3 linked regions of the Drosophila melanogaster genome follow. The gene in region 1 interacts genetically with each later gene. Each region holds a gene or a part of one and is shown on either strand. Other genes may lie near its edges.

What was found.
Region 2: of Sec5 (region 1) and Exo84, changing one enhances a phenotype caused by changing the other (phenotypic enhancement), as found in Drosophila melanogaster (one study listed by BioGRID).
Region 3: of Sec5 (region 1) and dnd, changing one enhances a phenotype caused by changing the other (phenotypic enhancement), as found in Drosophila melanogaster (one study listed by BioGRID).

Annotation. Positions count from the first base shown.
Region 1 is NT_033779.5:3,455,506-3,463,114, forward strand, and holds Sec5 (secretory 5), read left to right. Parts: upstream 1-1,796; 5' UTR 1,797-1,900; coding exon 1,901-2,009; intron 2,010-2,079; coding exon 2,080-2,694; intron 2,695-2,748; coding exon 2,749-4,570; intron 4,571-4,627; coding exon 4,628-4,766; 3' UTR 4,767-4,862; downstream 4,863-7,609. Other genes in the region: Cog3 (component of oligomeric golgi complex 3), read right to left, coding at 59-198, 252-739, 797-1,309, 1,366-1,530; CG3246 (uncharacterized protein), read right to left, coding at 4,889-5,875, 5,933-6,201, 6,265-6,346. UniProt on the Drosophila melanogaster protein: Component of the exocyst complex involved in the docking of exocytic vesicles with fusion sites on the plasma membrane.
Region 2 is NT_033777.3:26,048,433-26,055,261, reverse strand, and holds Exo84 (exocyst 84), read left to right. Parts: upstream 1-3,004; 5' UTR 3,005-3,032; coding exon 3,033-3,072; intron 3,073-3,132; coding exon 3,133-3,291; intron 3,292-3,344; coding exon 3,345-3,675; intron 3,676-3,729; coding exon 3,730-4,502; intron 4,503-4,561; coding exon 4,562-5,091; intron 5,092-5,146; coding exon 5,147-5,332; 3' UTR 5,333-5,531; downstream 5,532-6,829. Other genes in the region: Cmpk (Cytidine/uridine monophosphate kinase 1), read left to right, coding at 1-687; Vps2 (vacuolar protein sorting 2), read right to left, coding at 1,515-1,972, 2,033-2,345; gro (groucho), read right to left, coding at 6,657-6,764, 6,827-6,829.
Region 3 is NT_033777.3:21,883,779-21,889,918, forward strand, and holds dnd (dead end), read right to left. Parts: upstream 3,578-6,140; 5' UTR 3,365-3,577; coding exon 3,362-3,364; exon of another isoform or gene 3,251-3,361; intron 2,639-3,250; coding exon 2,510-2,638; intron 2,447-2,509; coding exon 2,315-2,446; intron 2,257-2,314; coding exon 1,981-2,256; 3' UTR 1,898-1,980; downstream 1-1,897. Other genes in the region: CG31465 (uncharacterized protein), read left to right, coding at 1-121; fit (female-specific independent of transformer), read right to left, coding at 288-653; CG17819 (uncharacterized protein), read right to left, coding at 1,020-1,067, 1,125-1,361, 1,420-1,554, 1,617-1,757; CG6678 (uncharacterized protein), read left to right, coding at 3,729-3,813, 4,257-4,776, 4,925-5,000, 5,061-5,489; CG43844 (uncharacterized protein), read left to right, coding at 5,840-6,136.

The sequences.
Region 1 (7,609 bases):
TAATTGATACAAACTCAATTAAATGTTCTCGTATTACAAAAGGATTCTGGAAACTTACGATTCTGCTGGACATGCTCCTCCAGCATTTCAATTCGTAGAATGGAGCAGATCTCCGCCAGCGTTTCCAAGTGATTAATATGTATAATAAAGGGTCGCATGGTGTCATAGAGAATGGTGCACAGACCCTCCAGATAAACCCTGTGGGAAAAATGAGATCAATCCTATTTTCCAACTAGATGTACGAGTATTACGTCAGGTGTGGCGCTCCTGTGCTGAAGAACTGGTAGAACAAACGCTGTTCGTCCTGGCAAACATGCACCAAAAAGGCGCAGGCGCTTCGGGTGAGAGAGCAGTGATCCCCTTTGTGGGCCACCTTAACGTTTTGTATGGACAGATTCACTGCTGGCGACATAACGCTGGCTCTTTGCGCCAAGTAGTGCTGTTGAAGATCCGCCATTAGTTGGGCGTAGTCGAGGCTGTGTTCCGACCGGGACTCAATCAACTGGGCGACCCGCTTCACTTTTGCCGCGGCCGTTTGATATTTGCCGTAGTACAGAGCGAATGCGGCATCTGGTGCCTTGAGAGCAGCGGAGGCATCCGGCATATTGTTCTTGGGATGGAGCGTGGCCTCGGTTGCCTGGTTTATCACACTCGTCACATAGTTACGCACCAGACCCGAGGCTTTGGCCAGGCACTGCCTGTACTTCACATTGTAGGCGGCCGCATCCTTGAATTTGGGCTGTGACAATGAAGGATATTAGTATATACATGACCGAAGTGTAACAGACAAGCTCACATTCTCCTCGATGTAGTTTAGGCATTCGTCGATCTTGTTGAGGCACTCCCGGAACGCTTCGCTAGCCACCGAAAGCGTGGGGCTCTGAAGTCGTTGGTTGAGCAACTCCACCTGGCTGAAGTAGTGCAGACGGCGTTGAATCTCGTGACTCAGCTCCTGCAGTCGCTCCTGCTCCTCGATCAACTGCTCGCTGGCCGTGTTCAGAGCGCTGGTCTTTTGCGACACAAAGTCGTACTCGTCGCAGAGGGCACCCAGGCGCTCCATGGCCCCAGCGATCTGGTCCAGCATGTGGGAGCACTCCGCTTTGCGCTGCTCCAGCTGCTGCAGGTATTTGTGGTAGTCGGCATCGCCACGTTGCTCGATCTCGGCGCTGACGTCCGCGAACCAAAGCAGAAACTCATTGGTGTTCTGGAGTCCCTCCGCAGGTAGTCTGATGTCATCGCCGCTTTGCGAAGTTGCAGCTGCCGATGAATCGGTAGGACCCACCTGGGTGGGCGTAGTCGGTGCCGGTGCCTACAAAGAGTCGGGTTGCAATTATACGATTGCCATTCGAGGAGGAGTCGACTCACCGATGGTCCGCTGTCGCGCCACAGATTGGTCAGGACGTCCAGGTGCTCCTCTTGCTGGATACTCAGAGCCGCCAGCGGGTCCGTTTTGGACTCCCATTGCATCAGGCGATTGCGAATCTTGCGCAAATTCTCATTCTCGCTCTGAATTCGTTCGACGTCATCCATTTTTCTGCGGCGGATTTGGAAACAATCAATCAGCTGTTCAGAGATGACCGGTCTGCGCCTTCCAGTGCTGCTCAGCAAGGAGACTTAGCTAGAACTAAAACTCTTGATTGATATAAGTTGCCTTTATTTGAATGGTATCATATGTTAAGTAATCTTTAATTTTAGATTTAATACATTTTAAGCTCTTTTTATGCTCGTCCGTTTCTTACATAAGTTTTATATTAAATATCTGTCTGTTTAGCTTGGCGATTACTTAGCCAAGATTTCACCACTGACGGGACGTTTTCCATCACTGGCAGCATCAATAAAGTTCTGTTCTCTATTGTTTTTATTGCATTTTGATCAGTTTTTCCGCATCATATAGCATACGATGGCGCCGCAGCCAGTGGTTACGGGGCTATCTCCGAAGGAGGGTCCTCCTGGCACCCGCGTTATCATTCGCGGCGAGTTCCTGGGCACCCGAGTGCAAGATCTAATTGGTAGGCGTAGCCTGTCCCAAATAGCTTCTGTTTTCTGATGACTTTCCCTTCCAAAAAAAAAAAATGTAAGGTCTAAAAATCTGCGGTTCAGATTGTCTGCTGTCGGCGGAGTGGAAATCACCCAATAAAATCATCGCACGCACTGGTCCGGCGAAGGGAAAAGGCGATATCATAGTGACCACTTTAAGCGGCGGAGTGGGCACGTCCACGGTTCAGTTTCGTGCATACCACGAGACCATTGGCCCGCTCAAGGAGTCCGCCGTGTGGATCGAGGAGTCGCCCTCGCAGAATTTTGCCTGGGGTCGGCGCACCCTAGCCCAATCCGGACTGACGCAGGAGGATCCACTTGGGCTGTCCATCGAGGGTAACGAGCAGAAGATCCCCGAGGACCTCCGCGATCTCTTTCCCGAAGCCTGCGGGGATCTGTCGCAGGAGCACTTCTCCCCGGCCTGGTTCCTGCTTGAAAATCACCTGGCCACCTCCTTCGAGGATCTCAAGGCGGGCCTGTCCTACTTGAAGCGGAAAGTGGAGAGCCAGAAGGAAGGTCAGTTGTCCTTCCTCAAGTCCAATGCAGGCTCGGTGATTGACCAGCTCGATACGCTGATGAACATCCGAGACAAGCTGCAGGAGGATGTCAAGCTACACGGCAATGAGACCCTAAATATCTTGGAAACATCCATAGAGAGTGAGTGGGGTTTATAGATTAAGATATTTAATTCTAAAATTGTTCGACTTATAGACTCCATTAGCGAATCGCAAAAGATATTCACGGATGTGCTGGTGCGCAAAGAGAAGGCGGATTCCACGCGGTCCGTTCTGTTCGCCCTGTCGCGGCACAAGTTCCTCTTCTGTCTGCCCAATTCGGTGGACAGACGTGCCAAGGCGGGTGAATATGACATTGTGGTTAACGACTACTCGCGCGCCAAGAACCTCTTTGGCAAGACGGAGATTCCCATTTTCCGCAAGGTGCTCGAGGAGGTCGACCACAGGATTCTGTCAATAAGGAAACAACTGCACGAGAAGGTGGTCAAGATGCCACAGAGCGTGGAGCAACAGAAGAAGCTCATCAAGGCGCTGATCAGTCTGGAACTGCAGCAGAGCGGAACTCCCATTGGCGATAAACTGCGCAACATCGATCCCGCCTGGGATGCCATCGAGGCCAGAGCCAAATATCTGGAGTGGACATTTCGCCAGACATTTGATCAGCACACCAGCAAGGATTCGGGTGCCCAGGAAAAGGCAAAGAACAGGGATTCCAGCCAGGCGCCCAATCGGGTTAACTTCTGCGAAGAACTGTGCGACATTGCCGCCTCCCAGCTGCCGGACTTGTGGCGTCTGGGCCAGCTATACTTCACCGGCGAGCTACGCGGACCTCATGATCCCAAGCCAGGGGATTTCAAGCGAATGGTTTTGAACGCCATCGAGAAGTTCTGTGTCTACTTGAGGTTGGCCATTCTCATTGCCACGGATCAGCGCGCCCTGCGTCAGTCCAGCGGCTTGGCTTGGCCCATCGGCTCCGCATCGGCAACACATCAGTTTCTACCCTGGATTCCGCAGTGCCTGCGTTTCACGAGGATAGCCTATGCCACGCTCATCAGCCTGGATCTGCCCTCGGAAGCGCTGGACATCATACAGAAACTGATCGATGAGGTGCGACTTTTCTGCTTCTCAATTATCTTCAAACGGGCCACGGATCGGTGCAAAAAGCTGGGCAGCCAGGAGACCTGGGAACTGGGCGTGGAGGAATATCCAGGTGCCACATTGTTACCCGCCGCCTTGGAAACATTGCTCATCGAAACGCTGGACGAGGTGCAATCTGTGTGCATGCAAAGGGAGACCCGGGAGGGCAATCTCCTCGAGCCGCAGTCGGATGGACAGAGAGAGGTGACACAGCGACTACAAGAATTCCTATCCGCGTTTAGCGCGGTGATCGAGGAGCTGGCCTTCCACTCCCACGACGAGGAGACGCCCACCCACAATGTGTCGCAGCTACTTGGATTCCCCAATGCCCAGCAGCCAGATTCGGTGGCTGGAAGCGGCGGAGCAGCGGCTGTGACCTGGGAGCAGCGCATGCTCTGTTGCCTGGCCAACTATGCGTACTGCAACAAGATCTTCTTCCCGCGCCTTGGTGACATCTTCGTTCGCTACGGTTACCCGCTGCCCACGCTGGCAATCGAAACTGCTCGCTACACGGTTAACCAGCTCTTTACCAATCTTCTGGAGGAGTACGTCGAGCATAAGGGCGATCCGCTGGTCGGCACCATCGAGCCCTCCATGTATCTGGGTCGTTTCCAGTGGGATCACGAGATGGAGATCGGCCAGCTGCGTCCTTACGCTCACGAGTGCTGCGATAATTTGGTTGGTGTCTACTCCGAGATCTACAGCATTTCACCGGCACTGCTGCGACCCATCCTGGAGTCCATTGTGCAAACCATATCCGAAGAGCTGGCCCGTCTGATGAGCTGTGTCCAGCGCTTTAGCTTCACGGGAGCGATTCAGGCCCACGTGGATATCCGTCTATTGAGGGACTCCCTGGAAGGTTACGTCAATGAGACTGCCAAGTGAGTGATCTAAATGAAATACCTATGAATTTCAATAATTCTTCTAATCTGCAAAAGGAACTACTTCATGGAAGCGCTGGAGGCCATCAATCCGCCCCTGAGTGGCGAGCAGAAGCGTAAGGCGGACGAGATTCTGGAGCGGGTCAAGCGGAACATGCGTCTGCAGCTGCTCTGCTTCAGTGTCAAGGACCCCTAGGCACATTCCACTGCAGGGCGCAGCCCATGTAGATAGCGTATACTTTAAGTAGCTTGTGATTACCCATGTTCTAGGGATAAATCTTTATTCGATTGCATAACTCTCTTACTTACTACCACGACTCACAAGCCCAACAGCTTTGGGTCAAAGTTGAAGTTGTTCTGAGCCATGGTCTTGATGACCTGCTCCACATCGATGGTGTTGAACTTCTCCTGCACACGCTGCTTGATGGGGTTCTCGATGGCGTCCATGATCTGGTAGCGCAGCAGGTTGGGAATGACGTTCACCGCAAACTCCATGACGTAGTCCAGCGTTCCCGCTCCGTCACATCGCACCTGTATGTTGCCCATGTCAAACTGCAGATCGGTGATCTGCGCCCGCTTGCGTGTGTCCAGGGATTGGCTCAGGCCAACGGTGGCGCGTATGTGCTGAACCGTAAATTGTACGTGACCGACGCGTGTCATCATGCCCACACCCACCTCCCACTGGCCGGCTCCCGTCACCTGCTGGGTGCCTATTTGCAGAACGACCGACACCGTTTTGTTGGCCATGCCAGCGGTTATGTTGCCCACGCGGTAGAAGCTAGAGATTCCATTGATCCAGGTGTGTGCTAACTGGACACTGAACACGCCCATGGTGCGATTGACATCAGGCAGGTGGTACGGATCGAAGCCCTTCTGCCGAACCATCTTGCGTGCCATGGCAATGGCGCTGTCCAGCGGCGTTATGGAATTGGGCAGTCGGCGTTCGCCCAAGGTTTTCTGGATCATTACGTTGATCTCGCTGCGCAGCTTTTTGTCCGCCTCCTGGAGCATAAATGGCTTCATGGCGTCGAAGACCAAGTTGGGCGCACCGTTCACCACGCTCTGAAAGACACTGCCCACCAGGCCGAGGTTCTGGAAGTCCATTGTCATGTCCGAGAATGTGATGTCGATCTTGATGCGGTCCGTGGCCAGCTGACCGTCTCGTTCGACGGCCAAGAAGGCGGTTGCCTCGGCATAGACATTCTTCAGGACTACTGTAAAGGGTCCATTGGCTTTCGAAAAGAATGAACTGAGGGTGTACTGGCCCTTGACCAGCATCTGGTCCAGCTGGAGGCCACCGTTGAACTGCAGGACAGAGGAGTGGAAACTTCAAGCCAATTCGAATTCAACTTGAAAACTTACTCTCATTTCCTTCAGGTCTAGGTTCATTTTATCAATGCGGAACTTGGACAAGCCATACGCCTTGACCTGCTTCATGTCCAGATTGGCCATGCCCATGCTCTTCTTCACATTGGGCACCTCCAACGGATCGGGCACGGGCACGCCGGGCAGACCCTGCGGATCCTCCTGCTGAAAGTGCACGAGCATGGCCTCCACCTGGGCGGCTATGCTGGCCTGACTCTCTTTGATCTTAAGTGCGTCATCCGACTCGCTGGCTTCCTGCTCCACAGCTGCTCAAAGGTCATTAATGAGTGGCTTAGTTCCGGTAGAGCTCAGACTGGAATTCGTCTTACCATCGCCAGGCTCCTGGGAGTGAACAATGTGGCAGCCACTTGCCATCAGGCCCACGAGCACGACCACTATCAACGGCTTCATCTTTCGGGGATTAGCTGGAGCTTCTGCTTATCAGTTGGAAAATGGAAGAAAACGCGCCAGCCTCCGTTCTCTACTCGGAACAAACACGCACTGTCGACTGGCGCGTTAATCAAAAGATAATGATGAGCCGCAGGCGGCGATCCGCTTATCTAAGGGCGACTCTGCTCGCGGAGCTGCTGATTAAACTCGGAATTGAGATTGAGTGACTTAAGTGAGCGGAAGCGGCCAGCACATTGTAGGCACTCATGGAACTCACTCCACTCCCAGGAACGATGTTCTAGAAATCATGAACTAGCAGCTTGCATGAGGCAAAGAGTGTTACGGTTCGAAAACGGTTTTGAAACCCAAAGAAAATCGCGCATTTTTCTGTAGTAGCAATGCTCATTTTTATTTGAATATTTTAATAGTTATATGTTCGCATATATAATATGGGTATATATGGCTTACTTGAATTGTTGTTCTTAATCCTAGGTTCACGTGCTCAAAAAAATTCATGCTCAAAAAAAGTCTTAGCCTATTCAAAAAAATGTCTTAGCCTATTAAAAAAAAAGGTTTTTTTTAGCTCACAGCATCCACATTTTGGGCAAAGCAATCTATAATTCGCTGTTCGTTGAACGAAAATAATCTTTAGTTTTGACTAATGCTTTACTCTTAAATAGATTATCTTTGCTGCAGCTGCAGAATTGCTTTAAATAGTTATGTATACGACTTTTGGCTTAATACGTATTAAAAAAAAATTGAGTTTTGGAAACGTTTGCTGGATGATTACAAAAATCAGATTGTAGAATGCTCCTAAAAGATATTTGGGAGTTGATTTGAGTGGAAGTTGTTTGAGTGGGGGAATATATAGCATAACGAAACCACAAGTTAAAAACAAGAGAGAATGCTAAAGTCGAATTTCCCGACTATCAGATACCCGTTACTCAGCTAGTGGAAATACGAACGCGAAATTTCATCATTTTTCTGGGATATCCAAGAGATATTGGGAAATAAAATGAGAAAAAATTTAAAATTGTGGGCGTGGAAGTTTTGGGCGGTAAGTGGGCGTGGCAACATGGGTAAACAACCAAGCGCTGCATCTATGTCTCTAGAATTTATATGCTTAATCTCAACCTTCTAGCTTTTATAGTTCCTGAGATCGAGACATTCATACGGACAGGGCCAGATCGACTCGACTATTGATCCTGATCAAGAATATATATACTTTACATGGTCGGAAACACATCTAGTATACCCTTTTACTCTACGAATAACGGGTATGAT
Region 2 (6,829 bases), on another chromosome or scaffold:
CCATCAGCGCTGACGCAGCACCAATTGCGACATTCCAAGGCCAGCAATAGGTTCATCACCACCACCTCCACAGCCCCACCACACAATATCGGAATCATGAGCGTAGAGAAGCCAAAGATTGTCTTTGTTTTGGGCGGTCCCGGGGCCGGCAAGGGCACCCAATGCTCCAGGATCGTGGATCGCTTCCAATTCACCCATCTCTCGGCCGGCGATCTCCTGCGCGAGGAGCGGTCGCGGGAGGGCTCCGAATTCGGTAACCTCATCGAGGACTACATTCGCAATGGCAAAATTGTGCCCGTCGAGGTCACGTGTTCGCTGCTGGAGAACGCCATGAAGGCGTCGGGAAAGTCGCGGTTCCTCATCGACGGCTTCCCACGCAATCAGGATAATCTGGACGGTTGGAACCGCCAGATGTCCGAGAAGGTGGACTTCCAGTTTGTCCTCTTCTTCGACTGCGGCGAGGATGTGTGCGTCAAACGGTGTCTGGGCCGCGGCCAGAGCGGCTCTGGCCGGACGGACGACAACCTGGACAGCCTGAAGAAGCGCATCTCGACATACAACAACGACTCGCTGCCCATCATCAAGTTCTTCGAGGGCGCCGGCCAGGTGAAACGGATCGATGCCAGTCCGGATGCGGAAGAGGTGTTCGGGGAGGTGGAAAAGATATTTGTGGCCAGCGGCTTCTAGATTTCCTGTTCATATTCCGGTTATGTGTGTAGTGCTATCCTTACCTTTCATTTGTACCCTCTAAAAAAATACATATATACGCTTGTTAATAGTAATGCATAAGGTACTTTTTCTTCACCCCGATAAGATACAAGATACACATGAAGTTTAGTATACCCAATCAAGGAAAGCGGAGGTACACACACACTTTTTAATATCGAGTAAAAAATGGAGCTAGGCAAAAGTTATTCTGGAATTATATGTTATCTAAAGCAAATGGATTGAGAACTATTTTAAATGTAGGAACGTTAAAGAGCAATAAACAATAAATTAAATCCCCTGTTCATATTATGACATTTAAAACAAGTTTTCTTATTTATACAAGTGCTATGTGATTTTCATTTTTCAAGTGTTTTACATATTTCTATAGTACCCAATAGTACAAATTTAGGAAAGTACTTCTTTTTATTCAGATAAACACAATTTTGCATTTATAGTTAAAGCTGAATATATGTATATACATATATATATAATTTCATGATTTGGAAATTCCTTTTTCTTATTTTATTGAAGACAGGCATGAAACGTACATATCTTTTAAAATACCGAATATTGTATAGCTCTAAAGTAACAAGTATTGCGAATTTGTTTGTAGCTAGGCTGTGCGATTGCAGCACTACCCAGTTCTTTCCATTATAGCTTGTAAATGCTAATTACTCATCGATTTTTCAAACACGCAGGGAACGAAAATCACAAGCATTCTCTTTAATATAACATTCGCTTCTGGGAGATACAAACGGGTGGTGGCTCTTACATAAAGTGGACAGGCAGTGGTTCTTAGTAGCGGCTCAATCCTTGCGCAGCTTATCCAGGCGCGCCTGAAGATCCGCATCGGCATCGGACATGGGCGATGAGGCACCACTGCCACCGGGAGCTCCCGGACCACCAGCGCCGCCACCACTAGCTCCACCTCCGCCGGCGGCTCCACCGCCGCCAACGCCACCAGCGGCCACAGCCTGTGCTTTCTGAGCGCCAGCGCCGCCGGCTATGGAAAGGGAACCGGAGGCGGAAGGAAGGTCTCCCAGCTGTTCGCCCAATTGCAGACCCAGTTCGTCCAGCACCTGGGACACAACAGCATCCGTCTCCTCCTCGTCGCCCTCGTCCTCCATGGCGTCATCGATGGCATCGTTGATCATCTCCTCCTTCATGTCCATCATTTCCGACTGTTTCTCGAAGTCCTGCAGGATCTTCTGGATTTGCGGGAGATTCAGCTGGCGGTTCATGTTCTGCATGGCCTTCGTGACACCTGGAAGATAAGCATAATTGCTTGATAAGCGGGTGAATCAGCCAAATAGCCAATGTTTACCTTTCATGGCCTGTGCCATTGTGTTCTGCGACTTGAGCGTCTGAATTTTGAGGGACACCGCCTGGATGTTTGCCTTCATCAGCATGAACTTCTTGGCATACCGCCGCGTGCGCACCAGATCCTTGGCCATGATCTTCACGGCATCCATTTGACCCTCCTTGGCCATCTTCTTGATATCCGCGATAATCTTCTTCTCCTGCTGCTCCATTTTCATCCGCTCGCGGTCCAGATCTCGCATCGCTTTGTTGAGCGCCCGCTGATTCTTACGCAGCATCTCATCGGGGCTGATCTTCTTGCCGAATAGCCAGTCCATGTTTAAGGATATCTTAACTGCAAGATTTAATTACGAAGAATGACGGAGTTTCCTAAAGATTACTCATCAACCAAAACAATAAGCGAAGGGTGTGCGCGATTCTAAGGTGGCCAAGACGTGTTGGCGCTTACATGCGAATAGTGCTAGTGGGAAGAAGAAGCTTTGCCGGTGCACTCTGAAAGAACTGTTCACACTTCAACTTAGTGAATTAGCAACAGGTGGAAAATAATTTTAATTTATTACAATACAACACACACACATTGTAATGAATAGTATACATATAGACATATGTCTTCTTGATTTTTAACGTAGATCTTTGACGTAGTCGTTTATATTTAAAAGTTCAGTTCGAATAAAAAGTATTCAGGGCTTCAACGCCTAATCATACCTAAGATGAAAATCCGAAATGTAAATGCGAATAAATTTGTTGATCTCTAAAAGGTCTTTGACGTAGCCGTTCAGTTCGAATAAAACTTTTCATAGGTTTTAAATCTTAATTAATCTCCTATTACTTAAAACTAAATAAAAATGTTCTAGATTTATAGATTTATCTAATACCAGGGAAAACTGCAGTGAAAACATGGCATTTTCTATAGCATCAGCAACCTTACAATCGACACCTCATGATGACGCTCGTTCGTTGTGAATGGCTCTGCGTCAGCTGCAGTTTACATTCCAATCAGAATCATGAAGGAGTTCGACGATTTTAATTTTAGCGTTGAGAAATGTAAGTATTCCTATGTCTATTTAGCATTAATCAGTCTACTAATAAGTACAACGTTCCCAGATACCAAGGACCTGACACGAGAATGTGTGGGTGGCAGCGATTTGCAGCAGCGAAAAAAGGAAATCGAGGCCTACAACGAAACGACGGCAGCAACGCTCAAGCAAACATGCAAAAAGAACTATATGGAGTTTATACAGACGGCCAAGGAGATATCACGTAGTTTACGCCCCCCAATATCAATATACATTTATGTTAATATTTTCGCATCGCAGATCTCGAGTCGGAAATGTATCAACTGTCGCACATTCTGATTGAGCAGCGCAATATTCTGGCCACCATGACGGATGGCAAGACTTCCAGTCACCTGAAGGCAGAGAGTTTGGAGGCGGAGAGCACTACGGCGACGGAGGATCTGGAGAATAGCCATGCCACGCGGGCGGTCAAGGAAATGGTCCAGGGCTTCAATGGCAATCTGGAAGGCAAGACCTTCCTCAACGAGGGAGCTCTAATCGAGTTGGACAGTAATGATTATCGACCCATTCAAAGGGTCTTCTTTTTCCTCTTCAACGATGTACTGATTGTCTGCAAAGTGAAGCATGATAAGTAGGTTTTCCTATACTAAAGCATATAGCAAAAACTAATAGTAATATTTTTCAGGCGCTTGGATTTCCTCACCGAGTACGACCCCAAGAAAATAGCCGTGATTAACATTAAGGACTTGGATGGCGTTAAGAATGCCATTAATATCATTACTCCAGATGGTTCCAAGATCTATCAAAGCATCACGGCTGCTGGGAAGACGGAGTGGATAGAGAAGCTCGAAGAGGCCTTCCGCTTTGACCAGCAAAAGAAACCAAAAAAGGGCCAGGCGCCACAGCCTCCAACTCGGGCCAAACAGCAGTCAAAAGCTTCGACTCCGGAGAAGGAAACCACACCCCAGAGTCCCGGACAGCCCAAATCCCTGGAGGATGAGACGCCCGAGTGGCTAAGCACGGCCAGTGAAGAGATTCAGACCCTGGTGGCCCAACGGCATTTCGAGGATGCCCAGGAGCTGATAAAGCGAACCCAGGACTTCTTGCGAAACGAGAACCGAAAGAAGTTGCCACTAGCGGACGCCATTGAAACCAAGGTGAAGCAGCAGGAGCTGAAGCTGATCAATGTGCTGCTCAAGGAGTTGTCCAACAGTCACAATCGCAATCTGCAGATCGCTCTGAGAGCAGCCAAGCGGCCTCTGAAGATTCTCGTAGAGATGGGTCGCTATCGGCAGGCGAGTGCCACTCTGCTGAAGGTCTGCGCCGTCAGTTTGCGGGTGGCGCAACGGGAGGCGCGCAGGAATAATGCGGATATATCGGAACTCTTCTTTTGTGACCTGACGCAGGTGGCCTGTGATTTTCTCACCGCCTTTGAGAAGCAACCGGCGTGCGTTAGCGGTAAGCTTCATTCCTATTTCTGTCTACATTTAAGTATTACTACTATCTAATTCTTGCAGCGCTCGTGGTTTGGTGCAATGCGGAGCTGCAATATTTTGCCAGCCAACTGATAAAGCATTACCTGACCAAGGGAACCTCCCTGGAGTCAGTGGCCAAATGTGTGGAGCGAGTGCGCAAGCCCTCGACAAAGCTCACAGAGATCGGGCTGGACATTAGTTATCATTTGGAAGGTCTGTTGCGCACTACACTCGAGTCGCTCATAGAGGAATCCAAGGAGCGACTGCTGGACTCCGTGGGTCGCACCGAGGAGAGCTGGCAGCCGTACAATTTGCAGACCAAGTCGAACCTGAAGCGTCTGCTCCTGGAGCTCGATGTCTTGGGTATCGATGTGCGAGCCCAGGCGACGGGCGACACATGGATTAATCTCACCCAGTCGACAGTGGTTTTCATCAGACACTTCCTGCAGCTCACCGAGTACTGCGGCTGTCTGGCCAAGTGCGAAACCCTGCTGCAGAGCCTGGAACTGCTTCTTAAGGAGCTGTTCATTGCCCAGCATTCGTTGAAACCGCCCAGCGACATGGCCGTGGATGTAAGTTAGAAAGCAGCTTAAATAAAACCGCTCTCTTCAAGAATGCCATTTTCAGCCCAACTTTGTAATGAAGAACAAGATTTTTCTGGTGGACAACCTGCTGCCCATCGCCATCGACAAGTTTCGACAGATTTCTGGACGCCAGTGCGAGGGATTGCGCGAGTTGCACACGAAAATGTCCCGCCAGCAAGGTGCTCCAGTGCCGCGCCAGCGCAGCGTCTACACCACAGATGTGTTTTAGATGCACGCCGTGGGATTTACTTTCGATTACATATAATTTTTTATTTTTTCGTTTTGCTTCAATTATTTATAATATAATTATATACATATATAACCACAATAATAATAATATTTGTAAAATTAAAAATCGAAGCGTGTGCTGCACTCTATCTCTTGCTTATTACAATTTCGCCGCTCGCATTATATATATAATTGTAAATATATATAAATCGATTCGTTTTCTGTTTTTCATATATATACTCTAAACACTAAACAATTTAGCTGTGTTCTACTTTTCGGTTTCGGTTGTTGATGCGGCTCTCTCTGTGTTGGGTTTAGCTGCTCAAAATATAGGATTTTACACTTGGTTCTGAAGAGTTGAGTTTGATTCACACAATTAATTCCTCGATTTTCTCATTACACATTTTCTCAAATTACATACAAGCAAAGCGGACTGCTCTGAGCTTCTAACTACTGACCCCCAATGCGAGTGAGTGTTTCGAAAGTGGTTTCCGTGTTTAATTTATAATGTAAAACTCTTAACTAAAATGCTTACTAAGTATATTCATTTATAATTATATATATATATATATATATATACCTTTTATGCAAATGTGTTTTGTGTTTTTCGTATGTTGTGTTTGTGTGTGTGTGGTGTGTGTTTGGAGGGACGTTGGGAGGTAAGGAAACTGACAACTTAAAATTACATTTGTTGTTGCATTCGCTGTCTGACTTTTCAGCTAAATTACAAAAACCGCTCACATAAAACAAACTAAAAGCACTCGCATCGTATTTGTATTTAACTCCTTTTGTTCAGCTGGTAATCATAATCTCAACGCTCCTGCAATTGCAATGACTGACTAATTCCACTTATCCTCCTATTTGTTTTTATGTTAAGATGAACGTAGGTAGGTATCGCCGACTTTTTATGTTTCTGTTTCCGGTTTCATTTTGTTAATTTTACAACATACTCGTTTCTGTTGCTCGCATGCATTATCATTTTATTTCGCTCTGGTTCTCATTTTACTTGAATTCTTCTTTACTTGCAATTTGTGTGTTCAACTTGTTGGTTTGTTTTTATTTATTGGACTTAGCTTAGGCTTAGTAGCTACAAGTACGCTTAAAATTTTAGTTTTCCTTTTTCTTGTATATATATTATAGAATTTTCATTTTTGCTTCGCTTTTTGATGCGTTGCTACTGCCGCCTTTCTGCTTTTCTTTTTTTGTTTTACTGCCGATGCTGCTGCTGTTGTTTTTGTTGTTGTTATTTGCATGATTTCGAACATGTTGTAATAAAAACTATACGAGCTTATTACAAAATGAAAAAACTGCATGGTTTTGTGGATTTAATAAATAACTTCGTAGACAGTAGCCTTCTTATCGCCCGAACCCGTCACAATGTATTTGTCGTCAGTTGATATGTCGCAGCTAAGTACGGATGATGTTTCCTTCGACTGAAAAACGTCCAGTATTTTAATTGAGGATTTCCTTTAATATGATAAGGATGTGTGCTTACCTG
Region 3 (6,140 bases), on another chromosome or scaffold:
GCTCTATATGGGCAGCAAGTTCGCCAAAATGGAAAAGGAGCGCCAGCTGGCCGAGCAGGAAAAGTGCCACAAGCTTGCTCCTCAAGCTTCGCGCGAAACGAATGGGAATCCAAACCCATAAGACAAAGCTGAATTTAAATTAATTATTATTTAAACTTAATTTATTTTGATAATTTGTTACTAATTAGTTCGTTTGAAAGGATTTGATTATTAAAATGCATTTTGCAAAAAAAAGGTGGCTAAAGGAATGTCCTTAAATTATATCAACTGATCACCAAGTCGTGAGCTTACATTCCATTCGCCTGGCTCATTTGGTGGTGAATGAATGACATGGTGTATCCAATCGAACGCCTAACGCAGTGCACGTCCATCTGGCCATCCAAGATGCACTGCCTCAACTGATTGACGGCGTAGTTCTCGATCCGTTTCTTGGTACTCTCGTTGTCAATTCGTTCCAGTCGCTTATCCACCTTGTGCATTAGAATGAATGCCTCTGGGAAGTGACCCACATCACAGGGCCAGTTGACAGAGTGCGGATGCGGGTGGCTTAGACTTGGACCTTGGGACGAGTTGTCCTCCTCAGACCAACGAATATTCCTGGCCTGCACCAAAGCCAGAGCCGAAAGAAGTAGAATCACCAGAGTTGAGTTCATTTCAACGATCGCTGTTAAACTGTGCCAGTCAATTCTATAACTAACCCTTTTATAGCCCCAAAAGCAACAACAACTAATAACTGATAATGCAAAAGGGCTTTGTCCTCACAATGTTGCTACTCAGCCACGAGTTTTTCAATTATTGACAGAGGTCAATGTCAAAAATCATTGATTAGCAAATGGCTGTATTAATGTATTAATTAAAAGAGTGTTTGCCGATCAGCAAACTAAATGAATCATTATTTGAGGCAAATAATTTCTATAATACAAGTGTAACAAACTATTGTTGCTAAATTACATTAAATATATATTTAATATATTAGTTAATAGGTTGCCAAATTTTTGAAAATATAAAAATGTGATAAATCACTTCCTGTTATTGTTGATCTTTTCGTTAATCCAATTTACGATCTCCTACCCAGATAGTATAAGTTAAATTATCAGATTTCGAATATAGAACACAACATATACCTGAACACCAGACCCTGTCCGCATGGAACATTCCTCAAAAGTCCAATCTCGACCAGTTAGGCGATATAGGCCCATCAAATCGATAACCGTGGACATGGACAGGGATCCCGAGGCGTCCTTCTTGTTGGACACGATCAGCAGCGGAGCATTATCCAGTTCCTGGTGCATCAAAACATCGCATAAAACACATCGCGCCTCGCTTAGCCGCAGTGCATCCGTGCTATCCAGTACAAAAATCTACGGTTCAGGGATTGTAGTCGAGTCTATATAAGTTCTATATAAGTTCTCCTCTCACCAAAACATTCACTTTCTTATAATACTTTGGCCAGATCTGGCGATTCTTCAGTTCTCCGTTAATATCCCACAACTGGACTCTGAAATTATTTATGGTGAAGCTCCATTCACTAACTTGATTGTTAGATTCCTTGGACTGCAAATAGTTTATGCTAACATTATCAAATGGAGATAGGACCATCACATATATGGCCTTACTTCTCCATTGAAAATTTCCGCCAGGCGGTCTGTCAACGTGGATTTTCCCGCATTGTCTAATCCTAAAATGAGCAGACATGATTTCTGAGAGCCTGCGGGCAGGATCTTTTTTATGAACGAAACAGGTCCGTAAAAACACATGGGGATCGAAATTTGATTTCAGTTTAGATGTCAGGTAAAAATGAATGATTTAACTAGCATAGCCTTCTCAACTATATATTCAGTTTATACTTAAAGATACACGTGAAAAAAGGAAGATTCATCCAACAATTAGAGATTGTGATACTTTTGGTGAGTTGAAATGTAGGTACGTATATTTAGTTCTTAGGGACAACTTAACAGGCGACGATTACTATAATTTAGATTACTTCTTCATATTCTTGCAGACCCAGTCCATTCCCTCCTTTAGTCCAGTGCCATCCACAGCGGTACAGGCCTTGATCTCCCAGGTTCGTCCCTGCAGTTGCACCAAGCTCATCTTCTCGGCCACCTCGGCGGCACTCATGGCATCCGGCATATCCTGTTTGTTAGCGAAAATCAGCACGGGAACTTGCTTCAACCGATTGTCCATGAGCATTTCGAATAGTTCACTACCCGCCTCGGGCAGGCGAGTCCGATCTGTACAGTCAATTACATAGATCTGAAATAATCGAAACTATTAGCTAACAGAATTGAGTTTAGATCTATAACAATCCTACCAGCACATCAGTATTCGCAAAATAGTTCTTCCAATATGGACGTATCTTCCATTGACCACCAATATCCCATACATTCAGTTTGAAACCATCGGCTGCCACGGACTTGATGTTAAATCCTGCCGTGGGCGTTACCTGCGGGATTTCACTCCGTATTTTATGGGGAAAACGGAAGAAGTTCGCCGCCTTTATACGCACCGTGGTTATGTCCTCCGATGCCAGCTGCTTCAGTATCGTGGTCTTGCCAGCATTATCCAATCCTAGGAGCAGGATGCGAGCCTCCTTTTCCGGATTGGGTCTCAGTTTACGCAACAGCGATAGCAGACCCTAAAATTTGTAAGCTATTAAGTTGTTGTTTTTTCTACTTAGTTTTTTGAAGGTGTGTTATTCTAGCACCTGATTACCAGTATTAGTCTAGACTCGGTAGTATCCTCTGGTCTATCTTTGAAATTTTGAATAACAATCTACATTTGGTAGTTTATAAACTTGTAAAATTGTTAATAAATATATGTGTTTTTATAAATGCAACATATGCTTGTAAACACACATGTTTTGTTATTATCAATGTTGTTATCAATAAAGACGATGTAAAGTTGTAAAAAAAAAACTTGCAATTAAAACGTTCTCTTAGTGATAGAATGCAAAAAGCTTATCAACAGGTGAACTTTACAAACATATTGTTGGAATTGAGATAAGGGCTCGCCAAAAGAAACGACAACAAGGTTGAATGAAATAAAAATGTTTATTGGTAAAAAAATTTGCCATGTTCACTTAAAAATTAAGAACTCTTTTTTCCATTGTGTGCTACAAAAAGCTTATTATGTTTCTTTGTTTTCCGAACCACCAATTTGGTTTTTTTTTTCGAATACCGATAATTACGCGCCTAAAACTTTCGAAGTAGTGCTGAAAAAAGTTCTGCTCTAACAAAAAAGTGTTGTATAGTTTTTGAGGCGGGTTTCCATGGCGACGATCGCAAAATGAAAACAAATCGTGCAATTACGGAACAACAAGGCACTTAATTAGCTGTTACGGAACCGGGAGACAACCTACCATCGTATAATTAACGCGAGAATAACAGCCAGGAGGCGGTGCGATCTCCGACCACTATATCCGTATCTGTATCCCCCCGATTCGGCAATCTGCTCTGGCCGCCCAAGACGGTGTCTTCTGGTGGTCAACTCAGGAAAAGTCGGATAACTTGAGAATTGGATCAACTTCAACCACCAAACACAACATCACTGGCTCGTCGCTGCACAACTACTGAAAACAAAATTCGCTCAACGCTCTAACAAATTCCGACAGCAACAACAACAGCGCCAACGGTCGCCGAGCAACCGCTGCAAAGGATTGTTAGACGGGGGACGTGGTGGGGGTGCGGGTCGAGCGGTATTCGAATTGGAACGGGAACGGGAAGAAGATGCCGCTGCTATTTACGGGCTTCAACGCATTTGGCCAGCATGAATGTGTAAGCGGCGACGTCGACTGCGCAGCCGGCTTCAGCGGTTTGTAACCGGCAACAAAAGCCGCCGATCACTTAGTTGCTACAGTAGGCACTCGCTATAGAACTCGCTGGGATGCATGCAGCTTATACCATTTTTACAATTCTAATTCTATCTTATAAAACTGAATCCGATTTAAGCCAGATGAATTTTTAAGATTTCATGTTTAAAATAGAGTATAGTGATTTTCAGGTGAATATATACGTAGGACATTAATCCATAAAATTCTTTGCATATTCATATTCATGCATTGGATATAGACTGCATTTTAATTGACAGTTATAGGGTAAATTACACATCGGTACTTGGTGCCAACTGCATTTTTTGATTGGCCAAATACATACATAGCAATGAAATTGATAAACTAATAACTTAGACAAAATCTTTTTAGGGGGCTTCCACCGTATGTATGTATGTGTACTAATTCAGTTCTGCCTTTATTACAGAATTAAATGCGCCAGTCTCGACTCAGAACCAGTGCACGATTTCGATCGGCTGGCGGTATGCGGCCCTCGCTTTTGGCCGGAAGTTGTGCCTGCGTGGGCTCTTGGATGATGGCCCAAATGAGTGCGTGACCCTGGAAGCAACGGGGAACATAAGGGCCCTTGCCGCTGCCGATTCCCACTGCCTGGTGCTACTCCAAAGCGGTCAGCTTTACAGGGTGCAACCAAAACTGCAAGCGGAACTGGTGGCTGTTAGACTAGAAGCTGCTCCCAGATCCAATTCGGGTACAAAGCGCTCTATCTTTGGGGCTGCCAAGGCGCCTTCGTCGCCGATCATAGAGCATATTGCATGTGGATCGCACATAAACGTAGCGATAAGTTCGGAAAACTGTGTCTACAGCATTCCCAGCTGCCTGCATCAGTTTTCCGAGCGCCAATTTCGGGTGAAGCAGCTCCAATGCGGCCATGAACATGCCGTGCTCCTCAATGCCAATGGCGACGTGTTCACCTGGGGAAATGGACTGTAAGTAAAGGTCATAATGAATGCGTTGGCTGTGCAGAAATGCAGCCTATAAATATTTACATATTCTGGTTTTAAGATATTTAGATATTAGCGAGTTTCTTATTCTAATTCCTAACAATTTTTTTCACTTCTATGTCATAATTAACAGACGCGGACAGTTGGGTCTGGCGGAACTGAGAGTGGAGGAGACGCCTCAATTGCTGGAGGCGCTGGCGGGGATCAAGGTATATATATATTTGACTTGTCCACTTATCTTGTCTGTCACACATTCAAGTGCCTTGCAGATAACTCAAATTGCTGCCGGTGGTTGGCACAGTGCGGCCATATCCGCCTTTGGAGACCTCTACACCTGGGGCCTCAACTGCAGCGGTCAGCTGGGATTGCGTGTGATGAAACCCGGTGGCGTCCTCAAAGAGCCCACTGTATTTCCGCTGCCCCAGTTGCAAGATCTGCCCGAATGTGCCTGCTCCCAAAGCGGGGAGAGCAACGATGATTGCGCACCGCTGAGGGTGTTTGCTGGATCTCGTCACACTCTGCTGATCCGCCGATGCGGGCGGCTATGGGTCAGTGGTTGGTGCAAGCACGGTCAACTTGGCAGGCAGCTCCAAGACCTGTCCTATGTGGATGCTTTTCAGGCCCTGGAAGGTATCACGATGAACCCTACTGTGGATGATGTTCTCTGTGGGCCATGGTCAACGCTGCTCCATTTGAAGGTAACGTTGGATTGAAGACACATACATATGTACCTTTTAAAATGGCTTCACTATTAAATCTACTGAATTGAACACAGCTTGGACACAAACCAATTTACATGTCAACTTGGTTGCCTTCATGTAAAATGTATTGCCACACATTTTACTTGACTTTTATCTACTTTGTATATATGTACAAAATACGTTGTATGATGAGTAATTTAACATTTGTATTATATTGCATATATTACCAACTTATGTAGATAAGTAGGCATTGGAATAAGTGTTTCCCCACTATTTTAGTACTTTTAAATTACCAAAGACAGGCTGGATGAGCGGATTGCCCTTGAGCATGGCGTAAGTTAAGAAGTATGCAGGATCAGAGTCGTTGGCCTGTAAGAAACTTCCTCATTCCCAGTCCCAGTATATTCTTTATTCTAATATGGCGTATCACCGTGCAAATGATGTATCCATACGGATACATGGACTGTTCGCTGCAGGACGCGTTGGATAATGAGTATCTGGTATGGAACAAGGGCGATCACCGGGAAAATCAAATGATGCTGATAAGGGAAACCGTTCAAACCACACTCCTGCTCGTGCTAATGATAGAGGTGATGCTGACGTTCAATATTCCGATTCCGATGGTCATAGGCGCCGGAATATAGTCTC